4 linked regions of the Yarrowia lipolytica genome follow. The protein of the gene in region 1 interacts with the protein of each later gene in a biochemical or structural test. Links are inferred from orthologs where the notes say so. Each region holds a gene or a part of one and is shown in the gene's direction. Other genes may lie near its edges.

What was found.
Region 2: the proteins of YALI1_B28744g (region 1) and YALI1_E40540g form a complex in vitro, tested with the Saccharomyces cerevisiae proteins (4 studies listed by BioGRID, with this or other methods). The link is inferred for Yarrowia lipolytica from reciprocal best matches to the Saccharomyces cerevisiae genes LAS17 and ARP3.
Region 3: the proteins of YALI1_B28744g (region 1) and YALI1_C16255g form a complex in vitro, tested with the Saccharomyces cerevisiae proteins (2 studies listed by BioGRID, with this or other methods). The link is inferred for Yarrowia lipolytica from reciprocal best matches to the Saccharomyces cerevisiae genes LAS17 and BZZ1.
Region 4: the proteins of YALI1_B28744g (region 1) and YALI1_D10600g form a complex in vitro, tested with the Saccharomyces cerevisiae proteins (4 studies listed by BioGRID, with this or other methods). The link is inferred for Yarrowia lipolytica from reciprocal best matches to the Saccharomyces cerevisiae genes LAS17 and ACT1.

What each region holds. Positions count from the first base shown.
Region 1 is NC_090771.1:2,870,274-2,878,130, forward strand, and holds YALI1_B28744g (uncharacterized protein), read left to right. Parts: upstream 1-4,183; coding exon 4,184-5,890; downstream 5,891-7,857. Other genes in the region: YALI1_B28735g (uncharacterized protein), read right to left, coding at 385-3,252; YALI1_B28766g (uncharacterized protein), read left to right, coding at 6,367-6,379, 6,432-6,628.
Region 2 is NC_090774.1:4,050,571-4,058,391, reverse strand, and holds YALI1_E40540g (uncharacterized protein), read left to right. Parts: upstream 1-3,829; coding exon 3,830-3,863; intron 3,864-4,410; coding exon 4,411-5,609; downstream 5,610-7,821. Other genes in the region: YALI1_E40571g (uncharacterized protein), read right to left, coding at 1-1,291; YALI1_E40502g (uncharacterized protein), read right to left, coding at 6,115-7,821. UniProt on the Saccharomyces cerevisiae protein: Functions as ATP-binding component of the Arp2/3 complex which is involved in regulation of actin polymerization and together with an activating nucleation-promoting factor (NPF) mediates the formation of branched actin networks.
Region 3 is NC_090772.1:1,620,554-1,628,901, reverse strand, and holds YALI1_C16255g (uncharacterized protein), read left to right. Parts: upstream 1-3,019; coding exon 3,020-3,085; intron 3,086-3,396; coding exon 3,397-5,214; downstream 5,215-8,348. Other genes in the region: YALI1_C16294g (uncharacterized protein), read left to right, coding at 1-230; YALI1_C16283g (uncharacterized protein), read right to left, coding at 273-468, 525-529; YALI1_C16275g (uncharacterized protein), read right to left, coding at 1,126-1,392; YALI1_C16204g (uncharacterized protein), read right to left, coding at 5,537-8,348. UniProt on the Saccharomyces cerevisiae protein: Plays a role in endocytosis and trafficking to the vacuole. Functions with type I myosins to restore polarity of the actin cytoskeleton after NaCl stress.
Region 4 is NC_090773.1:1,056,715-1,064,370, forward strand, and holds YALI1_D10600g (actin), read left to right. Parts: upstream 1-3,323; coding exon 3,324-3,330; intron 3,331-3,709; coding exon 3,710-4,830; downstream 4,831-7,656. Other genes in the region: YALI1_D10565g (uncharacterized protein), read left to right, coding at 1-1,303; YALI1_D10623g (uncharacterized protein), read left to right, coding at 5,620-7,656. UniProt on the Saccharomyces cerevisiae protein: Actins are highly conserved proteins that are involved in various types of cell motility and are ubiquitously expressed in all eukaryotic cells.

The sequences.
Region 1 (7,857 bases):
GGGATGTGCGTCGTCTGTCCCAAGGTCTTTGTGAAAACCGCTTGTCTAGTGGTTCTGCCCCACTCCAATCGATCCACTTGTGCCATCCATTGGAGCTCCCGTCCGTTGTAAGGGTATTGCACCTCGTATCACTGGTCGTACTCTCGCATCCCTGCGCAGCTCCACTTTTGTCATATACCCTCGCCAAGCTCGATACTGAAACCACTCGCACCAAATGTGTACGAGTATTCACTACTTGTACTCGTATCGTACATACCACTCCTCTACAAGCACCTACGTCATAGCCACACCAGTATGGTATCGTACATACACCCTCATTCCAACCCTGTAAACTGCAAGTACTTGAATTTGTACTGTACTTGTACCATATGCTACTTTGTTTATTCATCTTTTTCGTTTTCTGTGCTCCTGCGCAAGCCGTATCATACCATACTCCCACATCTCGTCTAATTTTCCGACTTCCAAGATCCAGAGCCCGACCCGACACCCCGACCCCGACCCCGACCCCGACCCCAAATTGGACCCAGACTCAGAACCCCCATTTCCCCCGCTGGTGCGGCGGTAGGGATGATGACGTTCAGGCTCACGCGACCGAAAAATGCGCCTCATGATAGGCTCCATCAGTCGGCTACGCAGTCCTTCTCCAGTACCGCTAGACGAAGAGCCAGAGCCAGAGCCGGAGGCACTCGCAGACCCGCTGTCGGTGCTACTGCCCGCGTTGCTGTCGCGACTGCCGCCGGAGTCCCCACCGTCGGTCCCGATTGCCTGCAACGTCTCCTGCCCCACAGGCGAAGAAGCAGAGCCTGCAGCTCCAACATTCCCAGTCCCAGAGCTTGAAACTCTGTTAGCCTCTTGCCGTGGACCCTCACCTGCATCTCCATGTAGCCGAAAAAAGTCAGACGGACGATGATAGACGTAGATGCCAGGAACTGGCTGGTGCACGTGAGCATGTGTGTGGGTGTGGTTGTGAGTGTGGGGTTCAGCGCCAGCACCTTCTCCCGTGCCAGAGGCCCCAGTTCTCCCTGCAGCTCCAGTCTCACCCCCAACTCCTTCTGTAGCCGCTCTTCGGGCGTTAGTTTGAAACTCCCGAATCACATCTACAACGGGAGGCAGATTCTGTGTGGGCCCAGTGCCAGTCTCTACACGGTGAGCGTGGAACAACTGCGGCCAGCCTTCAACTCCACGGCTCAGAAAGTGAGGCACGTTCCCTTGAGGCCCGACAACTGGAGGTCGGGCGTCAATGGTACCTACACCAGCTGTCCCAGTAGCTCTAGCTGCTGCAGGAACTCCACGGAACATATCGCTGGCGTTGATCTCGCCCTGCGCGGTCTGGGGGCCCTGGGGATTGTTGCTATTGTTGTGACGGCGTCGGTCTGCCTCAATCTCCTGGAAAACACGAGGTAGTACGTTGAAGAGGACCTCGAAGAAGCCGCCAGACCGAGACTCGTCGGGCTGACCGGTAGCCTGCAGGTATTCGGACTCGGACTCAACGGTCACTCGGCACAGAGGGCACGAGTTGTTTGACCGCAACCACTCACAGATACATAGATGGCCGAAAATGTGACCACAGGGCATCTTGGTTGCCACGTGACTCTCAGGGAAGTTAGCCTCCGACTCAGTCTCTGTCTCTGTGTTTGACTCTGCGTTTGCCCCTGTCTCAGCCCCTGTCTCAGACGTGGATCCCGTAGAAGAGGTACCAGCAGTAGCTGGCGGCGTCCGCTCTGTCGTTCCACCCGTAGTTTGACGCTCAAACTGCCGTTCAACAGTCCGTTCCATCACCCGCTGTTGTACCCGATGCAAAGCAACCTCCTCATGTGCCTCCCGTAGACCCTCGGGGATCCGGGGAATCACAAACGGCTGACGTGGACCTGCCTCCGGGTCCACACGTATGATAGGACACAGCTGTTGAGGGTTGGCTTCTCTGAAGGCAGCAGCATCTTCAGGGGTGTCGACAATGTACCGAATCTGATTGGTAGCCTCGTCCAGAGCCTGGCGCAAGTTTTCCTCGACTCCAGGATCGTTTCTAGCCCGTATAATCTCGTCAGCCTCGGCCTGAATGGCTCTTTCACTGGGAGAAGCTAGTTCAATGAGCACTGGACCGTGTACTGAAGTCGCAGGATTAACTTGGTTGAAATCGAACGACGGATCCGAAGACACAGATGCACTGGATGTGTTGGCCTCCGACGCCAGCCCTCGACTCTCTTGCTGTCGGTCCTCCTCCTGCTTTCTCTCCTGCTCGGCCAACTTGGCGATAATAGCGTCCCAGCCCAGCGGCTTCTCCTCGAATGCATCGTAGCAGATCGGACAGTTCTGCTCCACCACCTCGCTCAGCTCCAGCGTTTCGAGGTTGCGAATCACCCGTCGTGATGCCTTGGGCTTGTGTCGCCCTCCTCCTAGAACACCACCGGCAAACATGTGTGTAGGGATAGTGAATGTAGCCGTAGTAGTGCCATCAGGGCGGTGGTCGATTCCTCCGGGACTGAATGTGATGTTGGGGGCATCACCAGCTGTGTCTGGAGGCGCATCTGTTCCAGCATCATCCTCTCCAGCAGCCCGCCGTTGCAGCAGCCGCTGGATCAATGGGTTGCTCAACCAGCCTCCGGCGGCTTGGTTGAGATGCACGTGACCAGCCTCGTCTGGCTCAGCGGTGGAGTCAGTGGTTGCTGCTGCCGTTTCTCTGGCAGCCTCGGCTCCACCATCACTGACCCGTGTACGCATGGGGGATCGTTCCCGGGTGCGATCTCCGGCTCTTCGTTGCGATTGGGACCGAGATCGGTATGCTTGTGCGGTTCCTCCGTCAGCAGCACGGCCTCTAGCTTCACGTCCACGGGCTTCCCGGGCCTGTCGCGATGCCTCCGTCGCCAGGTTCCAGATGGTGTTGTCAGCCGTGCCGGGTGGCGGCGCCTGAGTTGTACCTAGTGAATATGTAACCAACATGATAGGCCGATCACGAGGCATGTGTCGATGAGGCGGTTGAGGGGGTGTTTGTGTGCCCGGAGCAGTCGAAGAAGTCTCTGCTGGCGTCGCGCTTGCCGCCTCTGTCGATGCTGGTGCTTCTGTTGTCTCCGTCGCTGCATTTGTGTCTCCTGGCGCTGCGTCTGTGTTCGTACCATCTCCATTCAGAAGCCGGTCCATGTACTCCTGAACCACCTCTCTGTTGTGCTGGACGTCCAGATTTCGACGCAGAGCGCTCCGCAATAGTTGCGCCACCGCGTCCCGGGCCGGATCAGGAGGCCCGTTGTTTTCGCTCATCTTCAGTGTTTGTCTTCTGTACCTTGGTTGGTGGCGTTGTGAGTAAGTGGATATGCGTGCCGTGTGTCGAGTGCTCTTTATATGTCCAGTCAGTCACCTCTGCCGTGTAATGGTGCAAAGTAGTGCTGACTCCTCAAGGCCAATTTTTTTTTCTTCAGACCTTGGAGTAAAGATGTACAAGCGCGGTAGTAGAGCAGGTATAATAACTGTGGAGCTTATAATTAACAATCTTGCTTTCATTAGTTCAATAGCAGTGACGTCAGACCGAAAGCATTCGGAAAATGAGAAGACAGGTCAGCCGCACGCTTTGTGATATGGAAATCAGGCCCAAATTTTTCGTCCATATTCCCCATGTCAAAATCACCATTCACCCATGTAATCCCGCTACTTGCACGTGCTGTACTTCTGCCACCCTCCACTCCATTATACAACCGACTCATAGAACAGTATGGAATGTTGGGTTTGGGATATCCCAGATTATGGTCCCGTGGTGTGGTCACGTGATGAAAGCTCAAGGTGGATGGGCCGATATGCAATGTCACACGTGACCCGGCTTATATCCCCCCCCCCCCCCCCCCCACCTCCACCCGGTTGTAGCCTGTACATGTTGTATTGATGCACTCTGAAAATCGCCGTTGGGAACAGCTTAACTCCGAGTCCATGGAGATACCACCACTGTGAGCCATTTAGGTGGCATCTGAATGTGTACATGAGAGAGGGGGCGGATAACGTAGCATATAAAACAGATTGTAGTTGAGGTTGAAAAAAACAGAAGATGGATTCACACTCACCGCAGCTTCAGTACCACTCTTATACGTTCAACTAAGAAATTACCGCACTTTTCCATGGTTGCTTACTAACACACGGGTCCTCCACGCATGCACTCCCACAGCACACTCTATCTCCATCAGCAACATCCACACACACCACCATGGGTCTTCTCAACTCGGCGGACAAGGAGAAAATCAAGCGAGTGGTGCCGAAAAACACCAACAAGGTGATTGACTGCACCATCGCACGTCTCTACATTGCCTACCCGGACCCTGATAACTGGCAGTACACCGGGCTGTCTGGAGCGCTAGCTCTGGTGGACGATCTTGTGGGCCACACTCTGTTTCTGAAGCTCATTGACATCCACGGGTCGCGAGGCGTGCTCTGGGACCAGGAGCTGTATGTTGGCGTCAACTACTTCCAGGACAGAACGTTTTTTCACTCGGTGGAGCTGGAGGACTGTTTTGCAGGCTTTCTGTTTGAAGACGAGTCCGAGGCCGCTCACCTGTTCAAGCGGATCCAAAACAGAGAAAAGTACGCCAGCAAGGATACGGTCAAAAACAAGAACGCCATTGCGCTGAAAAAGGCCGCTCCAGCAGAAAAGGCTGCCGTGGGACCCAGAGGAGAACCCCGTACTCGACTGGGATACTCGGGACCCGTCTACTACGACGACGAGCCGCCGGAAGAATGGCGAGCGCTGTACAGAGAGTTGGAGGAGCAGGGAATCACTCCGGAGATGATTGCCGATAACACCGAGTTCATCAAGGAACACATTCGACAGACGGGAGGTCCTCTGGTGGGTCTGGAACCTCCAATCCCTCGAAACAGAGGCCGGGGACGAAGCACGAGTAATGCCACTTCTTCTTCGGCTGATACCAATGCCCGAAAACCCCCACCGCCTCCTCCCCCAGCTGCTGCTGCTGAATCAACCCAAAACAACGACAGAAGAGCAGCTCCTCCTCCCCCGCCGGCCTCGGCTCCCCCTAGCTACTCTAGCACTCCAGAGCCCGACTTGCCGGCCACCCCTGCTGCTCCCTCCGACCCACCAGCTGCTGTAGCACCCCCCAGACGGTTCAATGTGCCGCCTCCCCCATCTTTCATGGGCAAAAACGCAGGTGCTCCGCCTCCTGCGGCAACTCCAGCCTCTCCAACAGCAGCAGCAGCCCCACCAGCGCTTCCAGGACGGTCGCTGCCGCCGTCGCTGCCCTCTCGTGGTTCGCCAGCGCCCCCTGCACTACCAGGACGATCGGTGCCTCCTCCTCCAGAACTTCCTGGACGAGCTGTGCCTGCCCCTCCCCCCTCTCTGCCGGCACGAGGAGGAACCCCGGCAGCAGGAGGACCCCCTCCCCCTCCTCCACCCAGAGACGGAGCCACTCCTCTAATCGAAACCTCCTTCCTCCTCCCTCCAGATCGGCCAATTCCCCCCCCCTGCTGCTTGCCCCAAACTGCATACACACCCCCTCCCCCTCCCTGCAGCAGCTCTTCTCCAGCGGCAGACTCAGAGCCTCATACACTCTTCCTCCTCCTCCTCCGTCCCCCGGCCTCAGTCGAGACCTGTTCCTGGAGTTCCTGGAGGTGTGTGCCCCTCCTCCTCCCCCCTCCGCCCCCCCGCCCTGAACTTGCTGCAGCTGGTGGACCTCCTCCACCCCCTCCGCCTTCTTCCTGTGGCTGCTCCCTTCTTTTGGAAGTTGCTGCTCCCCTCCTCCCCCCGGTCCTCCCCCAGCCATGTCTTGAGGTCCTCCTCCCCCTCCCCCCCTTCTGGAGACTTTGGAGTCACTCCTGGTCCTCCTCCTCCTCCTACCGGAGACGCTGGTCGAGACGCGCTGCTGTCGTCTATCACAGCTGCTGGTGGAATCGGCTCTCTTAAGAAGGTGGACAAGTCGCAACTTGATAGACCTTCGGTCATGCTGCAGGAGGCTCGTGGAGAGAGCCCTACCATTCCTTCGGCTGCCCCGGGAGCTCCTGGCGGTGGCAACTCGCTGGCAGACGCCCTGGCCTCGGCTCTTAATAAACGAAAGGGCCAGGTCAGTAAGTCTGACGACGAGTCCGACGGTGATGACTGGTAGTATAATGACTATGTAATTAACAGATGAAACGATGGGGCTACGAGCAAAGCGAGTATGTTGTCCATAGACATGGTGTATAATTGGTAGACGCGGTCACACCGTCTTCTGCTATCGTGGATCCAATGCTTCATAGCATCTATTGAACATCTACGATTGATAGTTAATAGTCTGATTCAGTTACCGTTTTGAAGCACGTCTTTTGTGTCACGTGACGGTGGTCGAGTCACGTGCTTTATTACAGTGAACACTACAAGTATTAATTTCTTGTTGCTTGTTTATGTTCTCTGACCGTGCAATTTGGATGTCCTTTGTCTTCACTTCAGACAATCCAATAAACAACAGTCACTCGCATTGTGGCTGGCGAATCTCCGGTTATTTCAGCCTCCGGGGATCTCGTATTGATTGCGAATGATAACGTGAGCCTCGTTAACATCTTGGTGATCGTCGTCGTCGTCGTGATTTTCACTCGCTCTACCGAAGATGGCTGCATCAGTTTATCGGCCTTACGTAATGAAGTAATAGTCCAATTGGTGTCTTAGGTGGACCCCTTGTCATTGTGCGACTCGATACTCCTTCATTGACCAGCTCAATGCCTTTTCTCTCGAACCCATCCATTCTTCTCTAAGCCTCTGTTGGCCGGCCTGTCCCTTTGGACACTGCCTCCCACGGCACTGGCCCAATCGGGAATAATGTGTTGTTTAAGACACATAGGCTTGTTCCGGAGTGAGTAGGTTTGTGGGCCGCTGTGGGGGCGGCGGCATCAACAGCCCCGGTCTCCAAAAAGTCCTTCTTTTCTAAAAAAAAAAAAAAAGGATTTCTCGGACTTGGCCAGGTTGAACATAGGCTTGGCAGCGGCGAAGCATAATCCATGCATAGATAGCGAATAACACACGTTCTCAACCCTTGCCCTGGTGTCCTGATTGGGAGTTAAGTAGGTGAGGTGAGAATGAGGAAGATGTGGAATTGTGGGTCATTGAGGGGTTCAATTGGCGTCGATGAGTGTCTGTGGGTGGTTCCTGTTTGTGAATATTAGGATATATCGATCACGTGAAGTAGTGTACCATGGTATCTATACATGCTATATTGCAGAGAGATAGCTTTGCAGTGTTGAATTGACTTTGTCTGTGTCACGTGAAGGTGTTCTGAGCAAGGCCAGGTGACATTATAACCACTCAACTGTTCACTTCTGACCACTACCATCAATGTCAATCTTCACTATCGTTTATTACATGGAGGTCCATGTCTTGACACGACATTCCTTTTATGGCATAACAGGGTTGGGGTTGTAGGTGGTTATCAGTGTGCCCACACATCACATACTGTACATTCGTAGTTGAGAACTATTTAGTTGAAGATAGTTAAGAGATAGTAGAAGACATTATATTCTGCTAATGAAGACGTTCAAGAGATGCATCGAGTACACGAGTAGAATGCAGGTATACAACTCTTCAACAAAAGTGGTGACAAATATACCCCTTTTCTAACAATGTTCATGGACTCTTGACTTGTCCGTGTTTTCTCCTAAGTGAGGCTACATTGTAGTTGAATGTTTAGTACACCGTTTGTTATAAATCCATAACTTTGGATAACAAGTCCACGCGAGAGACGGGCAAGACTGAGCAACACAATGAGCCTGACATCCCCCAACTACACATCACGGTTTTCTCTCTCCATCCATTGTCCCAGGTAACCACCTATATCTACGGATACATCCGTGCTGACCCACGTCGTCACGTGCAGACAACTCTAAAACATTTTTCTGCAGCCA
Region 2 (7,821 bases), on another chromosome or scaffold:
TAATGTTGGGATTCTGGTACAAGCTCGAGCTGTTATCGCTGATATAAAGCCTGCTTGTAGAGCTGCTGTCGTTTTGGTAAAGAGATCCTGAGGCCTGTCTCACTGGAGTGGGCTTTCTGGGAACTTTATGAACACCATTGGAGAATCCAGAGACTGTCAAGTTTGATTGCTCAGTGTCACTTCGTTTGATGCTCGTGATGTCGCTAAATTCAGACTTGGAAAGCGGGTCTGAGGGCTCAGCGAGAGTGTTTCGAGAGTCATACGACTGTAGATCACTCAGAGAGTACTCCTTATTACTGTAAAACTCTTCAGCGACCTGGTCGGCTGCCAACAAGTTGGTTTTAGAGCCACCATAAGCTTCCAGGTGAGCATTGGAGTGGCCGTAACCAATATTTTCTTCTTCGGTACCCAGGAACTCGATGGTGGGCAGTGTGGGTTGTTTGGACATTCTCGAGTTCTCCAGAGCCAGGTTCTGCATGCCACGTTTGTGGTACTTCGCAACTAGGTGTGCCACTCGTTTGTCTATTCGGACACAGCAGTACTCTTCCAGCGAGTGACACCTGTGTCGTTTTACTTGGGTCCACACAGAGCATGAACAGAGCATTGCCAGAATGAACATGAACATGGAGATGACCCAGATGAGCAGCGAGAATGCCATGAAGGATACAACGACAGCCTCAATATGTGACTTCTCAGCCAGAGCTGTAACAGCCCCCACAAAGTCGTCGTCAATTTTGAGCACTGAATACAGAGTGAGAGCATTTAGAACCTGTCTCGGTCCCTCAGCTAACAGGAGGTTCGCCCAGCCCTTGAAAGTGAAGAAGACAAACAGGGCAACGTAGTCGGTGAACTCCTTAGACTTGGTGATCTTAGCAAACAAACAAAAGTAGTTGAAACCTTTGATGGAGTAGATTGTTCGACAGATGGGGTTTGTGTATGTGAGACAGATGTTATACCGTTTCCACACACGGTAAGCCTGGATGTAGTCGTAGATGAGAAGCACAAATGAGAAGAGAATGCAGCCTCCAAACAGCCATCGGGAGATGTGGAAGGGCACGTAGGGGGTGATGGAAGAGGCCCAGCGGTCGAACGCCAACAACATGATGGCTGTGTAAATATCTGAGGCATAAACTGCCAGAGTGATGATGATCTGGACATACATGAAGATGTACGAGATGATGATTCGGAAGGAAGTGCTGTGGAACTGGGTCATGTCCACCAGGTCGAACGACGACTGGCCGACTTGGCGTGCCCATTTCTCCCGGTTTTCAAAGCAGAAGAATGGGAACATGAGAATGGGTTGTATGCAGTTATGGTGATGAGATAGGAGTGAGATGACTTACTGATTCAACTCGTTTAGGTGGTGTGCAAGAGGAAATGATATGTTGCGTGAAAAGATGTACGCCGTCGTACTGAATATCTTTCGAGAGCCGTCTATCTTGTCTGTATTGTCCTCTTGTGAAGTTGTTTGTATCGCCAAGAGCAGTCTTACAAATAGTCACTCTCTCGTTGTCCGTTGTCAGTCCGATGATGTAATGCTGATGCAGAGTCGATGTCGACTTGTGTCTGAGTCGGTGTTGGAAGATGGACAGTCGAAGGGGTTGTTGTATGCAAAAATTATGCTCCGGGTGGTTCGGTTTGTCCTCTGTCCTCAAACAGCCCCAGCGATGAGGCTCCAAGTGGTTGGTCTCAACATCTCACCCACCTGTGCACCATAGTGCATACCCACCTACTACCCAAGGTTAAACTCGGCAGATAATTTCCCTGTGTTCACATAGTCCAGAGCCCCTAGGTAAGAAAAAGGGGGAGCGCGTGTAAAAGTGATACAAGTGGAAATGTGCCAATTTTACAGCGAGTTCTACTGTTACAAAGGGTTGAAATTGATTACAATAACCCAGAATTTCCCCAAACGGTCCCCCTCTGTCATTCTATCTCCACATCGAACCCTCCTTGTCGATCCAAGTGGGCACTGCTTCATAAAAACCTTAGCGCTCCCAAAGTTGTGTCTGTGTGGCTACGCGTGGATCTGAAACATGAAACGCATATCTGTACGAGTCGTACAATACGAGTACTTGTACTTATGTTATGGCTGTTGGGTGACGTTTGGAGCCGTAAAAATCTGAGAGGTATTTTCCAGACATATATATATAGAAGACTTTCCTGGGTCTTCCGTTGTTTTTATGGCTCTCCAACCCTCGTATTTAGTGTTCTTCGCTGTACACCATCTGGTAATTAGGCGTATGTTTGGTGTCACACGTAACAAGTGTTTTAGTATATACGCCACACTAGTCGTGGTCGGAGAATGAATATTGAGACTAACAAACATGATAGGTGAATTTTTCAGTATGTCAGAGTCAGTTTGGCGAAATAAATTCCTGGTAGCTCCTGTATCAATGACTTTAGCGGTCTTCTATATCGTCGTCTCCTCTCGAGTGTTTTCAGTTGTCTCCACTACAAGTAGTTCCTATTTATAGCCGTGTGAATGTGTTGCATGCAAATTACAAGAGCGAGAGAACCAAAAAAAAATAAAAAAATGGTTCGTGAAACTGAGACAGTGAACTGACTGTTGTGAAAGACGATACACATAGGTGTTATTGGTCTTTTAGCCGTGGAAAAACACACTTGTACCTACAAGAGCCGGTACACGTGGATAGGAAAAGTTTGATGGTTATAAAGATGAACAGCAGTACAAGTACGAGAGTATACTGAAGGCCGACATGGAAAAGCTACAAGTACATTTGAGGTATGGCGGGAGCAGTCTTTCTCCTTCAATACATGAGGCAGAGACCCTTCAGAGTTAAACTAAGAAGCCAACTGGGATACGCCAATACTTGGGTCAATCGTTAAAGGGTGAAGCTGGTGGGATACAAGTACAGTATACAGTATGTACGAAAAGTGAGATAGAAGGTCCTTTCCATGCATATAAATGCGTTAGATATGACAAACCAACAAAACTGCATTTTATGTCATACTTATCGAGCTCTCTCAGAGTGATACATGATCCGCCTAACTAACTGTAGAAACAGTAACCTCCATCTTCTCAAAGGGAATACAGTACACACAGTAGTGCAAAAAGACGTGTGCCATTATTATATTCACAGCTGACAAATTGCTACCAACTTGTGTGTATGGTGTATACTTTTCATACCGTTGAAAGTGGTGTATCCGTCATACTGTGTCTTTTGAGACCAACAGTCGTCGACCACCACCCAATTAGACCACTTGGGTATTAGAAGAATAATAAACATTTAATAAGTGTCATTCCAACTAAACTTTTTCACACCAAAGTAATCCTAACCAAGTCCCGTGGTCTTGGTGCCATGATTCAATCAATGTTCCAATCACACTAGGAACCAATTCAAGAGAAAAAAATACATCTTCCTGATTCCAGTGCTCCCCCTGATGACTTTCCTATCAACGTATACCTATTTTCCATCCCGGTGCTCAACCTGTGCGTTTCTATCTTGCGTCTCTATCGTGGATTATTAAGCGGTGGATCACCCCAGAAGCAACCATGGGTCAATCATAGACCATGAAGTACACAAAAAAAGCAATAAATTGACGACAGATCTTCTGAATGTCAACTATCACTCCTCCCTAGTTCACTTGAAAGCAATCACATGATATTTCGGACATGTCACTGCACCATATCAGACTGCACTAAACACGCATTATCTCCGGTCCTCCCACTTCGCACCGCACACCCAAATTACAGGTGGCCACTACCGGGTAACTCTATATGCCGCAACACTGCTTGTCAGTTACAGCACATACATCCCGACACCAGCCCTTGAGCATCATCTGCTAACAAAAAATCAATTGAGCAACAATGGCGCATCTGGGAACCCCTGCGGTTGTCATGGGTGAGTATCGCGTGACTGGATGGACACGGCAGGATTTTCAAGGGGACTCTACTAACTTCAGACAAGTGAGTAATTCAGTGGTTTATCTCCATTGAGACATTTTGGAGAGGTGATGAGGGTTATGCTGTGGGATGATGGTGATGATGAACAGAATGAGAATGAGAGAAATGAGAAGGAACAAGAGAGTGCTGACAGACGATGATGGCTGTTGTGGAATGTCATAACCAACTATGGTTCTTCAATCGATCTTTGGACACAGGCCGCATGTCGATATTGATACATCGACATCTACATCGACGAAGACACAACGACATAACGATACAGTCAGAAACATACAGCAACGGAAGCGATCAGTGGCTACACTAAGATTATGTTATCATATCATCAGAGAAAACATAACCCGTCATATTTGTTTCAAGTCCTCTTTGTATCATCTACGCAAACCCGATACCCCACATTGATATGTGATTGTGTGGTGTGAAAGGCAACATCAACACCATAGCCTGTCATTCATCCCAGCCCACCCACGACCAAACATATACTAACTACAGCGGTACCGGTTACACAAAACTCGGTTTTGCCGGTAACGATGCCCCCTCTTTCGTCTTCCCTACAGTGATTGCCACCGCCAAAGGATCTTCCGGCGGCAACATCAGTCGTAAGGGTACCGAAGACCTCGACTTTTACATTGGCGACGAGGCCCTCGCCGCCGCCAACGGCCCTGCCTACTCGGTCAACTATCCCATTCGACACGGTCAGATTGAAAACTGGGATCACATGGAGCGGTTCTGGGAGAACTCGATTTTCAAATACTTGCGATGCGAGCCCGAAGATCATCATTTCCTGCTAACTGAGCCTCCTCTCAATCCCCCCGAGAACCGAGAAAACACCGCCGAGATCATGTTTGAGTCTTTCAACTGTGCCGGTCTCTACATTGCCGTACAGGCTGTCCTGGCTCTGGCCGCATCTTGGACTTCCAACAAGGTGACTGATCGATCTCTGACCGGAACCGTCATCGACTCCGGAGACGGTGTCACCCACGTGATCCCTGTCGCCGAGGGTTACGTTATCGGCTCGGCCATCAAGTCCATCCCCATTGCGGGCCGAGACATCACCTACTTCATTCAGAACATGCTTCGAGACCGAAACGAGCCCGACACGTCGCTCAAGACCGCAGAGCAGATCAAGGAGAACTACTGTTATGTGTGTCCGGACATTGTCAAGGAGTTCAACCGATTCGACAACGACCCTGACCGATTCCAAAAGTACATGGCCGACCAGGGTCTGCATCGACGAGCCACCGTGGATGTTGGATACGAGCGATTTTTGGCCCCTGAGATCTTCTTCAATCCCGAAATTGCCTCGTCCGACTTCCTGACCCCTCTGTCCGAGGTGGTCGACACCGTGGTCCAGTCCTCGCCCATTGATGTGCGACGAGGTCTCTACAAGAACATTGTTCTGTCTGGAGGATCAACCATGTTCAAGGATTTCGGCCGACGTCTGCAGCGAGACATTCGAACTCTTGCTGACGATCGACTTGCTGCTAACCAGCGGGCGACCGGAGTCAAGTCTTCGGGAGTCGATGTGAAGGTCATCTCACACTCCAAGCAGCGAAACGCTGTATGGTATGGAGGATCTCTGCTGTCTTCTACTCCCGAGTTCAAGAACTACTGCTACACCAAGCAGGATTACGACGAGATGGGACCTGGTATTGTGCGAAACTTTTCTCTGTTTTCCATGGTCTAGGGATTGTATGTAGTGTACATTTATGATATAACGATTGATCCAGCCCAGTGTCATGATACACGAGGTGAGTTGGTAGAAATGTTGGGTGTACTATAGAAGGCTATGTGTACACTATGTTGATAATTAATTATAAGAATACTGATGAAAGAATTCTCGTCTCAAGAGCCAATGACCCTACGTATTACGTAGTGTCCTGTGCCAAGAGTGCGTAATATCCGAGATAATAGTGCAGTTGACGTTGGTGCACAAGCCAATGGCAGCACGTTGTGGTTATTGTGGCTTTTCCTACTCCGTTGCTCCTGTCTGCTGTTATTGCTACTGCTACTGGTCGCTACTTGAAGCTACTGTCTGTGTGTAATTATATCTAATAAATGTATTCAGAAAATGCTAAAGAATAAATAGAGATCTACCAATCGATAGACCGTGAAAGTCAGAGAAGAATGTGGTTGTGAAAAGTCGTGATTGTAGAGTCGTAAAGTGTTTTGAAGTGGCCCTAGCGATCTGCTTAAGATCGCATGTAGTTGAGCAGACCCTGAATACCAGCGTCGAAGCCCTGGTCCCACTCCCAGATGGCACCGGAGTTACCCTTAGCAGCAATGTGCTGGGCTCGTCGGGCGTCCTGCCAGGCGTTGATTCGGCCAATGGTGGAGCCGTGGAACTCGTAGAAGGCGGCAGCGTCCTGCCATCCCGAAACGTATCCATCGGCGTATCGCCAGTGCTCGTAGTTACCCTGATGCTGGTCCCAGTAGGCAGAGTGCTCCTCGGTAGCCTTGGTGGCTGCCTCCTTGATGCCGGCCTTGGGATCCTTGTTGGAGCCTCCGTTGGAGAAGGTCGGGAGGGCGCCCTTCTGGGTCATGGGTTTGAAGCCCCAATCGCCTCCATCGCCGTACTGGAACTTGTAAGTCCAGAAGAACCATCCGGCTCGGGCATTCTGGTTGAAGGACTCAATTTGAACCTGGCCGTACTTGATGGCAAGCTGCTCTCGGTCCTCACCGCCGGCCTTAGCCCAGGTCTCCTCGGAGAAGACACAGGAGAACTCGCCGACAATAGAATCAGCCTGGGCCTTTCCAACATTGAGGTAGGCGGGAACGTTGGCAATGTTCTGCTGGGGAGAGTTGCCCTTGTCCTGCTCGGAGAAGGCCTTGTAGACGTGCGAGTCGACAACAAAACCAGTGTTCTGACCGGCAGAAAGCTTCTGGTTCTGCTCCTGGACCCACTCGTTCCATTCGGTAGGAGCCCAGCCATCGGAGATGTAGACGGGAACGTCAGGGTTCACCTGTCGGATGGCCTCGAGAGCTCGCAGGTAGTAAGAGCCCTCCTTGGAAGTGGAAGCGTCGTAGACGGCCTCGTTGACGACCTCGATACCGAGAACGTTGTCGTATGAAAGCACGTCCTTGGCGACCCACTGGAGAGCGTCAATAGCAATCTTCTGGTCGCTTCGAGAGTCCCAGAACTCGACCTTACCGGAAGAGGTTCCAGAGTGAGCGTCTCCGTTGGCGCCGCCGGGAACGGCATGCAGATCAATCAGAACAGCAATGTTGGCGGCTCGGGCCTTGTCGAGAATGTTGGTCTTGAAAATGGACCAGGCGTTCTGGTAGACGGACTGGTACTGCTGGAAGGGGGTGCCCTGGGTGAAGGCGCCTCCGTTGATGGTCCAGTAGCCCATGGGCACTCGGATGGCGTTGGCTCCCACAGACTGCAGGTACGAGAAGTCGTCGTCGGTGATCCAGGTGTTCCAGTGGTCCTCAAACTTCTTCTGGGCGCCGCCGGCACCCTGTTCGGCAACGAGAGCGGTCACAGCGTCGAGCTCAGCGTCTCCCTTGGCGGAGTCGGGGAACATGCCAGGGGTCAGCCACTTCTCGAGAAGGAACATGGAGCCAATGTTGGGGCCATGGTTGTTTCGCGACTGGAAGATGGTTCGGTCATTGGGAGCCTGGTTGGGCTTGCTGAGGTCGGCAGCGGCCACGGGGCCAACGTTGTTGACCATGTCTCTGATTTTGGTTCCAAGTCCCATGTTGTGAGTGTCGGTGGTAGTGTCGGGGGGGGAGTCTTCCTGGTGAACGGGGATAAAGAGGGGGATGAGACTGGGGTTAGGCTCGGTCTCAATTGATGCGGTGGCAGGTTCGGGAATGGAAGAAGTAGAAGAAGAAACCTCAATGGTGTGGGTCTCGGAGCTAAGATTGCTACCAGAAGTTAAGGTTGCGGTATATGC
Region 3 (8,348 bases), on another chromosome or scaffold:
GTGTGACCAAGGATATGCTAAAGGAACACCGCAGCAAGGAGGATGCATGGATGGTACTGAATGGCAAAGTGTACAATATCACGCCTTATCTGAACTTTCATCCTGGAGGAGTGCCAAAGTTGATGGTTTGTGCGGGCAGAGACGGTACGAGCTTGTTCATGAAGACTCACGCGTGGGTCAACTATGAGAATATCTTGGACAGATGTTTTGTGGGGTTCTATGTGGGCTAGCCAGTCGCTTACCATAGCACACACTAGACAGGCATCTATTGGTCACGAGTACCAGCACTCACGCCGGACATTGGTTACATGATTGACATGTGAAGGAGTCTCTGAGAACACTGACCTACTTTTGTCCATTGCTGGTATGGAAGTACTGGCGAGTGGTTCTCGAGAAGAGCATTGAAGATAGCATAAGAGAAATGGGTGGAATGGGGGCAAGACTGCACATTTACTTGTGTTGTAAGCTCTTCACGGTAGCCACGGGGAATCTAGTAGAGCTCATAGACTTAAACATATGCCCACAGCATGCCAGCAATTCTCACGATTGACGACCACTCTTTTATCCGCGATCTAGCCGTTCGCTTGGATCTCCTCGACTGGCAACCCCTTCCCCCCGATGCGCCTTTCGAGACTCAAGCACAGTATGATACAGTATCGTACCAAGACAACATGCCATTAAACCATGTAGTATCATGAGCTATACTGCGATACCAGCCAACTCAAGCTTGGATACAAGACTGTCAGAATCATTCAGTGGCGGATTGGGAACGTCTATAAATGTGAGCACCAGTAAGAGTAAACCGTCAAAACTACAGAATCTACGTGTAGTTACAGAAGTAGTATACCAATTGAGACTGCTTGCGACATGGTGTTACGTGTTGCTCGAGAGGCGAAAGAAGTACTATCATCGGGGATACGAGCGCTACAGAGGTGACTACAGACTTGCAGCATGACCACAGTGTATTTAGTGACAGAGCCTGGCTTACCTTAGCAGACAAGTTCCATGACACCGACACTGTTTGAACTGTCGTGTCGGTTGCTTCCTTCAAGCGCACGGTTTCACGCCGTTCCACGTCGTTTCACGCCGTTCACGTTTCTGTTCATATCAATCGCATGCATTACTCTAAGCGTTGAGTCGGAAAATGTCGTTGAAGACATAGTACGAAGATCCATCAGGGATCAGGTGGAAAACCTGGGCGTAAGGGAGCGGGTTGTCGCCATCAACGCACAGCTCTCCGGTGACAAGCACAATGACATCACCTCCCTGAGCAGAAGCGGGCTGGGCGTCAATATCAGAAATCTTGTGTCGGACCTGGCCAAAGGGAAGGCCAACAAGTTTCTCAACGATAGCCTGGGCACCCTGGTGCTGAGTACCGGTGAAGGTGAGCATAGAGTGATCTCGGTAGAGGTTACCGAGCTGAGACCGGTCGGTATCGAAGGTCTGGTAGTAGAACTCGCAGAACTGCTTGGCGAGGGTGTTGAAATCGACTGTGTTAGCGCTTGGAACGAGACGTATTAGGGGTGATACTCACCAGACATGATGGTTGTGGTAGATGTACAAAAAAAACAAGTGTTGTGTGTATGTATCTAGGGTAGTTTTAAAGTTAGGGTTTGGGAAATAAGGGGGGTGTTGGTTCGATTCCGGGGTGGGTAACACTCTCCAGTGACGAATTGAGGGCCAAAGTCAAATGAATAGTTTATACAAATCCACAAAATCTGTCCACTACATTTAATTACCTTCATTTTGGGCCTGTTTGCAGCCATTAATTACAAGCAATCGAAATCAGCTAAATATACTTTCAGTTAAGCGTTGCATTTTAGAGTTTGTATTAATAAGCACATGCCGAAGCTCTAGAAATTTCTCTGGAGGGTGAATATTCTGATGACAAGGGACGGACTCCAGCACCCAATTGAGATTGTTGCAAGCTGATAATTGTTCCGAAACTTACACTACTTCCATGGTCTTCTTATTGCTGATTTTACACCACTGTCCAGAAGTCGCTTATAGAATGTCAACATATAGGAAGCACGACCAATTTACTCTAACGCACAGGGAATTGCAGTGAGTGAATAGAACCAAAAAAAAGAGACTTGTATCCAGTTTCAGCTTCATCAATGGTCGAATTCAATGTTTCTCCCCTTCCTCAAACCTCTGCAGGCACTCAAGGACGAGGCCGAGGCTCGACCGGTCAAAAACCGAGTTCAGTCCTCCACCACTCTTATCGATCGACGGTCCTTCTACGCGTATCAATGCAATTACCCGGTCTAAGGGTTACCCGTCTTTGAGTGTGGCAAGGTTGATCAGTATCGTACTTGGACTTTTCTATAATCACCTAATTACCACTTTAACAATTACGCAACTATACATTCACAAGGCTACTTAGATAGTATTTACTTTTCGATACGAATACTCAACATCGTCCTTGCATTCCCCCAGCGATGAAAAGAGCAAACATAGAAAGCAAATATGAAAAAGCAAACGTGACTAAGCAAACGTGACTAAGCAAGTGTGACTAAGCAAACGTGACTAAGCAAACGTGACTAAGCAAGTGTGACTAAGAAAATGTGACTAAGCAAACGTCACTAATCGTTTCAAATCTCCACCGCCATCTCTGGTAGGGACACAACCCCGAAAGTGGCTGTACCCGTGACGTGCACTGCCATCATCGAAACGCCAGCCGCTAATCGATGTCTACACGCTGGCTTTATTCCGAAAAATTACATTACCAGTCAACATTCCCCACACAAGTTAATTTCAAAACGAGGGAGATGCTTCGTGTCGGACACGTGATATTGAACCGTCACTACATTAAATAAATCCAGCTGGATGCGGGCTTCTCAACCATCCTTGTCACGGCTCTCCTGCTCCATCCACCTGCCAGATCTCTACGGATATTAATCCGGGTAACCCTTTAGCGTTTCGTGTTGCGTCTCCACGGCAACCCGCATTATCCTGCCACATGTCGTGAACAACCTGCGTGAACCACTAGCTACAGGAACCAGAATACAACATCAACATGGCGGACGTTCAAGTTAGCATGGGCACCGAGCTGCTCGATGGCTGGGAGAAGGTGGACAATTGGGTGAGTGTGGGAAGTGAGGGAGCTGTCCACATGATGTGACTAAGACTCGTGGTATGGAGTAAGGGGGAGATAAGAAAGTGTCGGTATTGGTGTGATTCTTGAGCTGGCGGTGATATTTTCTGTTATAAACGGCTCCGTAGCAACGGATGAAGGTATAGTAAGCCCTGTCTGGTATATCCTCCATCTTCGCATCCAAGAGAGTCTTATTTGGGCCAATCCACGGGTTTCTCTGGAGTCACGAGGAGACGTGGCTAGGCGCCAATTATCTCCATTATCCTCTGCAACTTCACTCAAAGTTCTTACTAACACAGTCTCAACACGGAATCGCCTTCCTCTCGGATGTTCAGTCCTTCTACCGAGAACGAGCCTCCATTGAAAAAGAGTACTCCCAGAAGCTCTCTTCGCTCAGTTCTAAGTACTTTGAGAAGAAAGCTCGAGTGTCTTCCGTTCTATCAGTCGGAGAACATCCTGAAGTCACTCCTGGGTCTCTTGAATCCGCATCTCTTGTCACTTGGGGAGAAATTTTGACCCAGACCGAAACATTGGCCAAGGAGAAGAACCGTCTGGCGTCCGAGCTCAACCTCCAAATCGCCGACCAGGTCCATGCCCTGTCCCTGAAAAGTGAAAACGTCCGAAAGAACCTGCAAACGTTCTCTGAGAAGCTGATTGAGGACCGAGATGGATACTACTCGCTGCTCAAGAAGACCAAAAACGGCTACTACGACGCCTGCCAGGCTGTCGAGAACCAGCGGATGAAGGGCCAAAAGGGAGGAGCGCTGGGCGGTCTCATTGGTCAATCTAAGGAGAAGTTGGAACGGAAGCTTGAGTCGAAGAACGCCGACATGAACGACGCCAAAAATATGTATCTTGTAAAGATCAACGTCGCCAACCGTCTCAAGGACAAGTACTATCACCAGGATGTTCCTGAACTGCTGGATAGATACCAGGAACTCAACGAACTACGAGTCAAGCTGCTCAACGGACTCTTGAGCAAGGCTGCTTCTCTCGAAATTGCATGCAACAATCGATGCACCGAGCATATGAACGCTACCATTGAAATGGTTGCACAAAACCATCCCGTTCTTGACTCTGCCATGTTCACCAAGCACAATATTGCCCCTAACGGATGGGAGGAACCCATCGACTTCATTTACGAGCCGTGCCCTATTTGGCACGACGATGAGAACATGGTTCTCGATGATGTGGCTCTCAGATACCTGCATACTGTACTGGGCGACTCGCAGCGACTCAGCCACCAGTTCGAAGACACTATTGCGTCCAAGGAGGCCGGCTTCCAGGACTTGGAGAAGCGAAAGGCAACGAAGCTGGCCGAGGCAGACTCTGATTCAGCTTCCAACAACCACTTTGAGCTGCTTAGTCAGTCTATCAACGCTCTGAGAAGTCTCACGGTGGACGACACCAAGCGTACCATTGCAGAAGTCGAAACTGAGACCATCAAACACAACACTGGTGAGAAGGATCTCGACTCATACCAACCCGTTGTGATCAAGAAACGACACAACTTCTTGTTTGGCAAAAAGAAGATTGATCGAAACATTCCGGAACCGACACCGGTGAAACGAAGCAACACCACCACCTCAGGATTTGGCGGCACGGGAAAGTTGATTCTGGACACTCTAACATACAGAGAAGGAGACCCCATTCCATGGAACAAGGAGAGTTCTGCATTGGTGTTGTATAGATATGAACCTCAGGGAAGCGACGAGGTGTTCATTTCCGAAAACGAGCATGTGACTGTTCTTGAGACCGATGATGGCTCTGGATGGATTCGAGTGCGGAAGAGCGATGGCACTGACGGACTTGTGCCTGCTTCATATGTCGACATGAACCCTCCCAAGAGTGCCACCACACCATCCTCTGGAGGTGGAGGTGGAAGCTTGAAGTCTGCGTTCTCAATCAAACGAAAGGGTCCTCCTGTCGCGCCCAAACAGGGTGCCAAAAAGGTCGATTACGTCACCGCACTGTATGATTACAATGCCCAGGACGATACCGAGCTGTCGATCAAGGCCGGTGACCAGATTGTGGTGGTGGAGCCCGATAGAGATGGATGGACGGAGGGAGAGTTGAACGGACAAAGAGGTGCTTTCCCCACAAGTTACGTGGAGTAGCTGATGAGACCAACGACTCGAACTTTTCAGCTATGATGCTAACGAGTGGTATAAAGCATAACGAATAAGTCAGTTGTTTGTTCAATGATATTGCTACTTTTTGTTCACCTACAGTGCGATCGTAATTATATACGCGCTGATGGTATTAATCATACAAGTACAGTACGCTGGTAATCGAAGATCACCGCCCAGAAGTTCAATCTACCACTTACACCAGTATAGTATGTAATGTACAACAGCCACACAATTGCCTCTACGCGGAAGCCGCTCATATCTATATTGCAGAATAATACACAATCATTTATTATACACACACGTCCCACTAAGGAGTGGGAGAATCATCATATCGAGGAGCATCATCCGTGGACCAGGCTGCAGGGGTTTCGGCCTGAGCAGGTCCAGAACCTCGAGGATCATAGACACCCGGAGTTCGCGCGTCGTTATAGGCAGCAGGTGTCGGAGCAGAATCTTCCCAAGGATGGTGAGCAGCACCTGGAGTAGGGGCACCCATCATCTCACCAGGAGTGGCAGCAGCGTAGCCTGGAGTGGGAGCCGAGTTGCCGCTTCCGAGATCTTCCCAGCCCTTGTTTCGCGAAGAAGAGCCGCCGTATGTTCCTGCAGACGACGACTTCCACGAAGGCGTACGTGCGACTCCAAAGGCCGGGGTTTTCGACCCAGCACCAGCTGCTCCCCAAGCTGGAGTTTTTGCCCCGCCCCATGCAGGGGTGCGAGACTCTGATGCGCCCCAAGATGGTGTTTTGTTTCCCATTGCTCCCCATGCGGGTGTCTGTGCACCTCCTGCATTGGCAGCAGGTGTTCGCGAACCCCAAGACGATGTCTTTGCCCCACCCCACGACGGGGTTTTGCTTCCCCACGACGGGGTCTTTCCACCTGCTCCCCACGACGGGGTCTTTCCACCACCACCCCACGACGGGGTCTGTCCACCAGACCCAGGTCCGCCAGGACCAGGGGGCCCTCCAGGACGACCACCACCCGATCGCATACCTCTAGGAGTAGCAAACTCCATGTATGACAGGTACGTCTTCTTGTAATCGTCGTAGATTCGCAGCTGGTGTTTCAGAACGTTGACAACCTTGCAGGGAGCGTGAAGCTCGACTCGAGCAATATCGTCTGTGGTTTCCTTGACAATACCCTTGCATCCCTTGTGTTGAGAACCAGGCCCGATAGCAACATGCTTGCCCTTGAGACGGTCGAAACCTCCCTGCTTGGGCATGACGGGAGGAGCCATCTGGCCAGGTCGGGCATTGTAGACGGCAGGGTTCATCTTGGTGAGATCGGGACCAGTTGCTTGAGAGTTCGACTGTGTTCGAGCTCCTTTAGCAACAATGGTATTAACCTTGAAGGCCTTGGCGACAAAGACGCCGAGAGATCGGGAGCTGAGGAACAGAGTGTTCTTGTAGATGTGAAGAACGGCACCTTGTCGACCCTCACCGACGGTCTCTCGAACAGTATCGCCAATTTTGATCTCAGAACCGTTGGAGTCGGTGGCCAGACCTTCCATGTTTCGAGTGAGCTTCATGGTGATAGAAGAAGGAGTGACTGATCGAACAGTACCTTCTTGGTCGAGCACCTTCAGACTGTCTCTCTCCACCTTTACAATGCAACCGACATGAAGAGCGTCAAGCTGCACAAAGTCGTGGAGCTCGTAGTCACCGACCTGATGTGAACCTCCAATATCAGACACCTTCTTGAGATCCTTGGCGAACACTGTGACTTCCTTCTTGTTGAGATCGGACAGTAGAGTCACGGAGTCGTCCTCTAGACCCACAATCAGACCAGTGTCGTCGAGGAAGTTACCGGAAATGACTCGCACGTGATCACCAATGGCAAACTTCTTTCGTAGAGATCGGCTAGGCAGATCGATGCGCTTTCCAACCAGAGGAGCCGTCGTGGCCTCCACGGTGACGATATCGCCGTGTGTAGAAATGACAGTACCTTGAACACCGGTCTGCTCACCTTCAGACACTTCGACGACATCTCCACCCTGAAACTGGACAGCCGCGGCAGACTTTCGAAGGCTCTGGGCAAGAGAGGCCAGATCGATACCGTCAGTCTCCTCAGAGTTGAAACGGGTCAGCTCCTCAAGCTTGGGCGCAACGTTCTCGGCGTTCACCAGGGTGATTTTGAAATCTTTGTACAGGAAGCCTCCGATGTACTCGTCTCCCGCGTAAACGTACGCATTGGGGCCACGCTTCTGCAGATTTCGAGGGTCATACTGAGAAGCCTCCTGCTCAGAAAAGAGTCGTGGGGGAGGGATTCGGGCCACTCGCTTTCGTTTACCGTCAATTCCAGCCTCTGCATTTCGTCCATAGTCGAGACGGGGCACCAGCTTGAGACGAACCTCAAGACCATTTTCAGACAAATTCTCGACAATGGCGAGATCGCCGCCATACTTTCCTCGCTTGAGACGCACGTATGCGCCGGGAACGAGCTCAGTCTCGGCAGACTTGGTGGCTCGCAGAAGATCAACGTACTCCTTGATGGGCACCAGAATCATGTTCTGAGGATAGACGTTAACCAGACCCTTAAGAGCCACAGTCACAGCCTGCTGGTTACGGGCCTCCATGTAGATGTATCCGGTGAAGGTATCTCTTTGAAACACGGACATGATTTCCAGCGGGTTTCTGGACTTTTGTAGAGACAGTTTCTTTCGAAGACATTGTCGAACCAGCTCCTTTTCCTTGCCGGGCTTGCATCGAATACCCCAAATGGAGGGCTCATTGACAGAGGGAAGCAGCAGATGCTGGGGGATCACTCCACTGTCTCCTCGGTACTTGTTGGCTGTCGATCGACCGTACTTTTCTCGGTACTCATCGGCCAGTCGTTCGGCATCCTCTTCGGCGATGGCTTCTCGTCGCCGGTCCATCTCTCGATGGAATCGGTCGTCCGAGGCATCGGGCTCGTCGGCATCAGGCTCAGCAACGAATCCGTCTTCTCCAATGAGTCCATCTTCGTCCTCCTCAAGATCCTCTTCATCTTCATCCACCTCGGCCTCGACATCCAGGAACTGGTTTCTTCGCTCCCGTCGGGGCTTCTTTCGTTGCCGCACGTCCTCCTCATCGTCGTCCTCTTCTTCCTCTTCCTCTTCCTCTTCCTCTTCCTCCTCGTCGTCC
Region 4 (7,656 bases), on another chromosome or scaffold:
AGAAATGGAGACAGACAAGCCCTTTGTCACGCCTCTGTCGCCCCCCAAATACGAGGGACGAGTCATTCTCACCACCTACCCCGGACAGAGTGGCGTCAAGCCCATTCCTCTAAGATGGGGCGCAGAGGACCCCAAGGTGCGAGGTCCCATTGTTGTGGCCCGTGATCAATCGTCGTTCAAGCAGCGAAATGCCATCGGAGCCCACCACGGATCGTATGGTATCTACCACGCACTGGCTGTTGCCACCAACGACCTGCCCGTTACACACAGAGCAGACTATACCAACGCCTATCCTCTGCACACCTTTGGACCCCACCCCCAATGGTCCGACCCCAAGAAGATTGTGGCTATGGACCCTTATGGTCATCTAGCTCCCTGGCTCTTTCATGAGACGATCGCGGAAGGAGTTGTAGTCAAGCCCACCATCGCTGTTACTCGTGCGCAGATGCAACTAGCCGAAATCAGAGACGAGGTCAGAGACGGAACCATGGAGGTTGATGGCGAAATTGTGCTCAATAAGAGCGGAGATCTCGCGGTCACCAAGGTGGCCGTGGAGCCCGTGTGGTATCTGCCCGGAGTCGCCGAGCGATTCGGAATCACGGAGGGGGAGCTTCGACGTGCCCTGTTCGAGGACACTGGAGGAATGTACCCCGAGCTGGTTACCCGACCAGACATCAAGGTCTTCCTACCTCCCATCGGAGGCCTGACGGTGTACATTTTCGGCGACCCAGACCGAGTTTCGGACCCCTCCAAGAAGTTGGCTCTCCGAGTCCATGATGAGTGTAACGGATCCGACGTGTTTGGCTCCGATATCTGCACTTGCCGACCCTACTTGACCTTTGGTATTTCCGAAGCAGTCAAGGAGGCCCAGAAGGGTGGCTCGGGAGTGGTCATCTACTTCCGAAAGGAGGGACGAGCTCTGGGCGAGGTGACGAAGTACCTAGTGTATAATGCGCGAAAGCGAGGAGGCGACTCAGCTGCCACGTACTTTAAGCGAACGGAGAACATTGCCGGAGTTAAGGATATGCGATTCCAGGCACTGATGCCCGACATTTTGCATTTCCTGGGTATCCAGAAGATTGACCGAATGCTGTCCATGTCCAACATGAAGCACGACGCCATTGTGGAGCAGGGTATCCCCATCCACGAGCGTGTGCCCATTCCCGACGAGATGATTCCTCCGGACTCTCGAGTCGAGATCGATGCCAAGATTGCGGCTGGCTATTTCACCACCGGCGCCGTCATGTCTGAGGAGGAGCTCAGTGGCGTCAAGGGTCGAACCTGGGACGATGTTGTGCATTAAGGGGTTAGATAGTAGCATGTATAACAGATATAATTATAGCAGATAAAAAAAAAGTAGTGGAGATGTGGTCACTGGGAGGTAATGAGTGCCCCTCAAGGTAATGGTATGATGAATTGTACGGTATGTATGGCGTAAAAGTACAGCTGTAGAGTATGTGAGGTGCGGGCGTTTATTTACTGGTACTTGTATGTCTGCCGGTTAAGAGCTGTTATGCAAGACATGAGGAGCGCTTTACCCAGATATAGAAAGAGATTGCCCTGTAATACTTGTATATACCGGTAATTAGGTGGCAATTGACACGCGCATTTCCATATCTTCGCCCAATTGAGTGCTTATATCGTTATCACAGTGCACAGGCTCCAAGTGTTTACTCACGATGTTTACGGTGAGGGAAGCACGTACATACTGTATAGGATGCGACCATACAGGAAACTTCTTCTTACCATATCGACGTTTCGGAATGTGTCTGACATGGACAAGTGGAGGGCACTGGGCGCTTTTTGGTCCAACCGTTGGAAAGTACAAGACGGGGTTTGGTGCTACTGTACGTGTACTTGATAGATAGTTGCGCTACGGCACGATACAATGTACGAGTATGTGCAGAGTGCAGTTGATATCGCCACGTACTGCATGTGGGTTGCTGTACACTGCGGGGCACGGCCTGACAACCCCGTTTCTGCTCGTACTCGTACCGGAACATGGACCAAATATAGCTCTGAGAGATTATGTGGGTTGCGGCAGGCAATTTCACCGGAGTTAAGCATCGCCGAGATACGAATAAGGTGTAAAGGGGCGGCATTTTGGGACGAGCACTTTGGGACGTCCACGAGGTAAACAGACACAAGCCACCCGCGATAACCTTGAGTTTGGGCTATTCAGACAGAGCTGTGCCCAGAGAGGCGGGGAATGAGCTCTTTCCAGATGTTTGCGCAGCGTTCTCTCTCAACTTATCTCCGTCGCTTGCTTTCCATAACGCGCGAATCACATGTCAAGGGCCAGGGTTTTACCCGATCCCAAACATTGACCAACCTTGTTTGGTAGATGGGGGGGAAGCGAACCGGCAATATTCCACAATGTGCTGGCATTTACTTGTGCTGGCAAAAGAGGCACAAAGAATACTTGTAGTCGGAGCCACTCACTGTCCCACAAATAGCTCCCCGCTGTCAATCTCTCCTGCACCGCCTGCTCACATGGATGCTAAGCCGCACTAGGTCGCATATATGGCTCTGCACTAAAAATTAGGGGTCAACCACAGTGCGGTATTTTTAGATTCGCACCAAGCAGCGAGTAAGCAAAAATACGCCTACCGGGGTCCGATATTATTCAGGAGGTGCCATTAGAGGAGGGCAGATGAGAGTCGGATATCGGAGATATTACCGAGGCTATAATTACCCCATCCACGCCTTTCACCCCTCCCACTCTCTCCCTCACCGCACACCAACCCACCACTTTCAAAATATACCGCAACATTGACATAATCTCCGGTACAGTGGTTAGCACCGAGAGGACCCCAAAAAGCTTGGGGGAGATAGAGGTAGGCTTTTTTTTGTCAGTCAAATCGTATATGCCAATACACACACACACACACACACACACACACAGTTTCGTACATAACAGTATATTGGAAGGGAGTGTGCTTGGCAAAGACAGGAGAAGACGGTGCTGTTAGAGGGCAATCCAGACGGGCTAGAGCTCTGTAACTTTCGGATCGATTTCAATTCCTCTAGAATACCAAATACCAGTGGTTAAGCGGCTCATTTACCAGTCCTAATACCCCCTCCACCAGCCACCTTCCCCTATTCCTCGGCAGTGCTTTTTTACCTTTGAGATGTGGCCTTGTCTCCGTTACTTCCCAACCGTGAGTGCTGTGTGGTGTGCTGGACAGTGCGACATAACTAACCCTAACCCAGACGAGCCAGCGCACCCCAATTTTGTGTTTGCCAACTCCTACTTTTCTCCTCTCCTCCATCGGTATTTCATCGACAAATCTCTTTGCTACCAACAACCACACAAATTAAAAATGGAAGGTGAGTACTACCAATGCCATCGATGGCACAGCGGGCTTTGCCATCATCGATTGTCTGGATTGATGGCGAGTCGGTCCCTGGATTGGACACAAAACCACAAATGGCGCTTTCTCCCCAGCGACAAGTCATCACCACCAACATGGCGACCAAAGCCACGGGCCAGCAAGCGAATCAATCCATCATCGAACGGATGGAGCTGCGAGAGCGCTTGCGAGCCCAGAGCGTCCGTCTTGCCGTTGGGCACCTTCGCGCTTTGCGATGACGTGTCACCACACTGATAATGTCGCATGCTGCCGCGCATGACCCAACCAGCCCCCGGAAAAGCGCAATCCATCAGCAATCAATCAATCCATCAAATAACCACACCATACTAACCTAGACGAAACTGTTGCCCTCGTTATCGATAACGGATCCGGTATGTGCAAGGCCGGTTTCGCCGGTGATGACGCTCCCCGAGCTGTTTTCCCCTCCATCGTCGGTCGACCCCGACATCAGGGTGTCATGGTCGGCATGGGCCAGAAGGACTCCTATGTTGGTGATGAGGCCCAGTCCAAGCGAGGTATCCTGACCCTCCGATACCCCATCGAGCACGGTATTGTTACCAACTGGGATGACATGGAGAAGATCTGGCACCACACCTTCTACAACGAGCTCCGAGTTGCTCCTGAGGAGCACCCCGTCCTGCTCACCGAGGCCCCCATCAACCCCAAGTCCAACCGAGAGAAGATGACCCAGATCTTCTTCGAGACTTTCAACGCTCCCGCTTTCTACGTCTCTATCCAGGCCGTCCTCTCCCTGTACGCCTCTGGTCGAGTCACCGGTATCGTTCTTGACTCTGGTGATGGTGTCACCCACGTTGTGCCCATCTACTCTGGTTTCTCTCTCCCCCACGCCATCATGCGACTCGATATGGCTGGCCGAGATCTTACCGACTACCTCATGAAGATTCTCTCCGAGCGAGGTTACTCTTTCACCAACTCCGCCGAGCGAGAAATCGTCCGAGACATCAAGGAGAAGCTCTGTTACGTTGCTCTCGACTTTGAGCAGGAGCTCCAGACTGCCTCCCAGTCCTCTTCTCTCGAGAAGTCCTACGAGCTTCCCGATGGCCGAGTCATCACCATCGGTAACGAGCGATTCCGAGCTCCCGAGGCCCTCTTCCACCCCTCCATGCTGGGTCTTGAGGCTGCTGGTATCCACGAGACTACTTTCAACTCTATCATGAAGTGTGATGTTGATGTCCGAAAGGATCTCTACGGAAACATTGTCATGTCCGGAGGTACCACCATGTACCCCGGTATTGCCGAGCGAATGCACAAGGAGATCTCCGCTCTTGCCCCCACCTCCATCAAGGTCAAGATCACCGCTCCCCTCGAGCGAAAGTACTCCGTCTGGATTGGTGGTTCCATTCTTGCTTCTCTTGGTACTTTCCAGCAGATGTGGATCTCCAAGCAGGAGTACGACGAGGCCGGACCCACCATTGTCCACCGAAAGTGTTACTAAGTGTGGTGATTGCTGTTGTGCAAGCCTTTGCTCGTTTTCTGCTGTATGTAATTTAAAGAACGATTGTATGAATCGAAGTCAAGGTGAGTGTAGTTTGAGAAGTGTAACCCCAGTGTCATAGCTGTGTACTCCATTCATTGAAGGGTGTAGTCGTGTTTTATTGCATGAGCTCCTATTACTCGTATAAGTAACTGTTTTGTAACACTTCATGAACGGAGATGGTATGAACAGAAGTAATAATATCCTGGAAGTCAGCTGTGCCCAGAGGTGTGTGTGGGTGTGGCATACTTTGGGACAACAACACTTGGGCAGTATGCTTAGTGACCACGAAGAGAGTGTTACCTTCTGAGGTGCGACGTGCAGTAGTTCTATTGTTTTTAAATGCGCAGTCGTCTTTCAGAGGCTGATTCAAGCAGACGCATTCAGTTGTGTTCAGTTGAGGCTGATATCTCAGCACCTACAGTTTAGGGAAAGCAGGGTTAAGATGATGACAACTCTGGGTGGTAACCTGGGATATGCGGCGATATAGCAGGTAATGACTTAATAACTGCTCAATGATGAGTATATACATCCCTCCTATCTATATATCCATATTTAGTATTTACATATTCATCTTCACCGAGCTACAAGTAGAAGGATGTACATGCTGTATCTTGCGGTGCCTGTCGCCATGTTTTCGACAAGTTAAGTTCGGAGTATGCATGCAAACAAAAATACAAGTAGTCAAAATATTGGAGTATCAAACAACGTGCTTCGAAATCTCTTCCATCCGCACAACTACCAAACGACATGGTGGCGAAAACGTTTCGAGAGGAGCCCGTCGGCGGCACCCATCAACAAGTGGAATACTTGTTTCCCAACGTGGAGATTGATGGCTCGAAATTGATCACGAAAAAGGTGGTGGACGAAAGAAAGCGAAAACTGGAATCTGACGATGCCGAGGAGGTGTTTCTGCGACGCTACGTGTCCAAGGAAGGGCAGATGTTCCAGAGCTCGACCAATGGCGAGTTTTCTGTGCGCTTCTTCGACGAGTCGCACATCATGGAGGTGACTGGAGTGAATCACGATCGCAAGAGTGTGCGTATCTATTTTCCCGAGGGACTACAGAACCATTGCACGTGTGTGACTGAAAAGGATGGGGTTCTTTACATTGATTCCATTTCAAACAGCTTTCTGCTGTACAGCGTGAAGCTGCCATTTGCTCTGTTCAATGAGGACAACACCGAGCATTACGACACCTCACGGTTCTTTCAGCAGCAGGAGGACTACGGCATTCGAAGCCGAAAGCCGCTTCTTCTCAAGTCGCTCAAGGGCCAGTCCAACGAACTTGTGCTATCTTTATGCGACGGAGGACTCATGAAATTGGAACGACAAGAGAAGAACGGCCTGTTTCTGACATCGTTATTTTCCGACCCCTCGTATCTCACGAGCCTCAAGGACCGGTTCTTCAGCAAGGACAAGATTGCGTCCATGCCGCATCTCAGCATCCACGCTATTATCTCTATGACAAACTTTGAGAACCACCTGTTGACCGTGTCTGTCAACCAGACTCTCAAAAAGTGGGATCTGAATACTCTCACCGGCACAGAAATCAAGTTTGACAGCGACAAGAGCAAACTCGACACTGAGCCTGTCACTCGAGTGTGTGCGTCGGGCGAGTTCTTCATCACCTTTTGTGGAGAAACCATCTACTTCTGGGATCAAAACTTCGTCCAGGTCTTCTCGTCCAAGATCCCAGACATTGGACTATGGTCGCTAAAGGACATGGCGTTCCGTCAAAACGAGGGTCAGTTCGAGGTCTCCACCGTGTGGATGTCTGGTGTGTCCCACGTTGTCAAGAAGGCTACAGTAAACAGAAATGGAGACATCCAGTGGTCTGAGTGTGGAACACCTCTTCGAATGCTCCCACCACTCACAGTCCACGACTACGAGCGTGCCGTCTCTCTTTACAGCGTGCCCCTTCTCAAGGCTGCTCTTTCCATCTTCTCTCGACATGGAGGAGGAGGAAACACCATCAGTGAAGCCATCTCGTCACAGCTCAGACTCTACACTAACCACAGCGGTCCCGACTACACTGGCTACGCCAAGGACCAGGTTGAGGCTTGGAGCAAGTTTGAAGGTATCTGCCAGGAGCTCAGCAGACAGGCTAGTGCATGCATCGGAAGCAGTCTTTCTGGTGCCCAGATCTATATTCTAACTGGAACCGGTGTGTCTACCATCCGACCTTCCACTGAACTAGAAAAGCTGTACGATGAGAGAAACATTGATGGCTCCAACTTGTCCAAGCTCATGTTCACTATTGATCGGTTCACTCAACAGCTGACAAACCGAGCTCGACGAAATATTGTATCGTTCATGGAGGAGGACATCCTGGCTCTGCCCCACTACTCTCAGGGCAACCGAATGGCCGACATGATGAACGTGCTCATCAAGGAGGTGCCCAAACTGGCGTACAAGAAGCTGTTTGACTCGTTCAACGGCGTATACAACCTTCTCGATACCTTTGACGACCTGGCTGCCGTAATGGATACGTCTAGAGGCTCCATTGATACAGCCTATGTTATGTGTCTTGATGCTTTGGTCTCTCTTTTGCTCATTTACAACCGAGACGGAGATGAAACCGGTCTGGACAAGAACAGAGTCGTTCGCGTGTTTGTGCGGTTCATGAACCACTTTAGAACATTCACAATTGCCCGAGAGTGTGCATTTCAACAGGGCGAGCGATACGGCACTCTGGACAACTTTTCGGAGACCAGGTTTTTCGAGGTGCTGGCTCGACTACCTGCTGATCGAGCAGCCAAGCTCACACGGTTCCTCAACACTGAC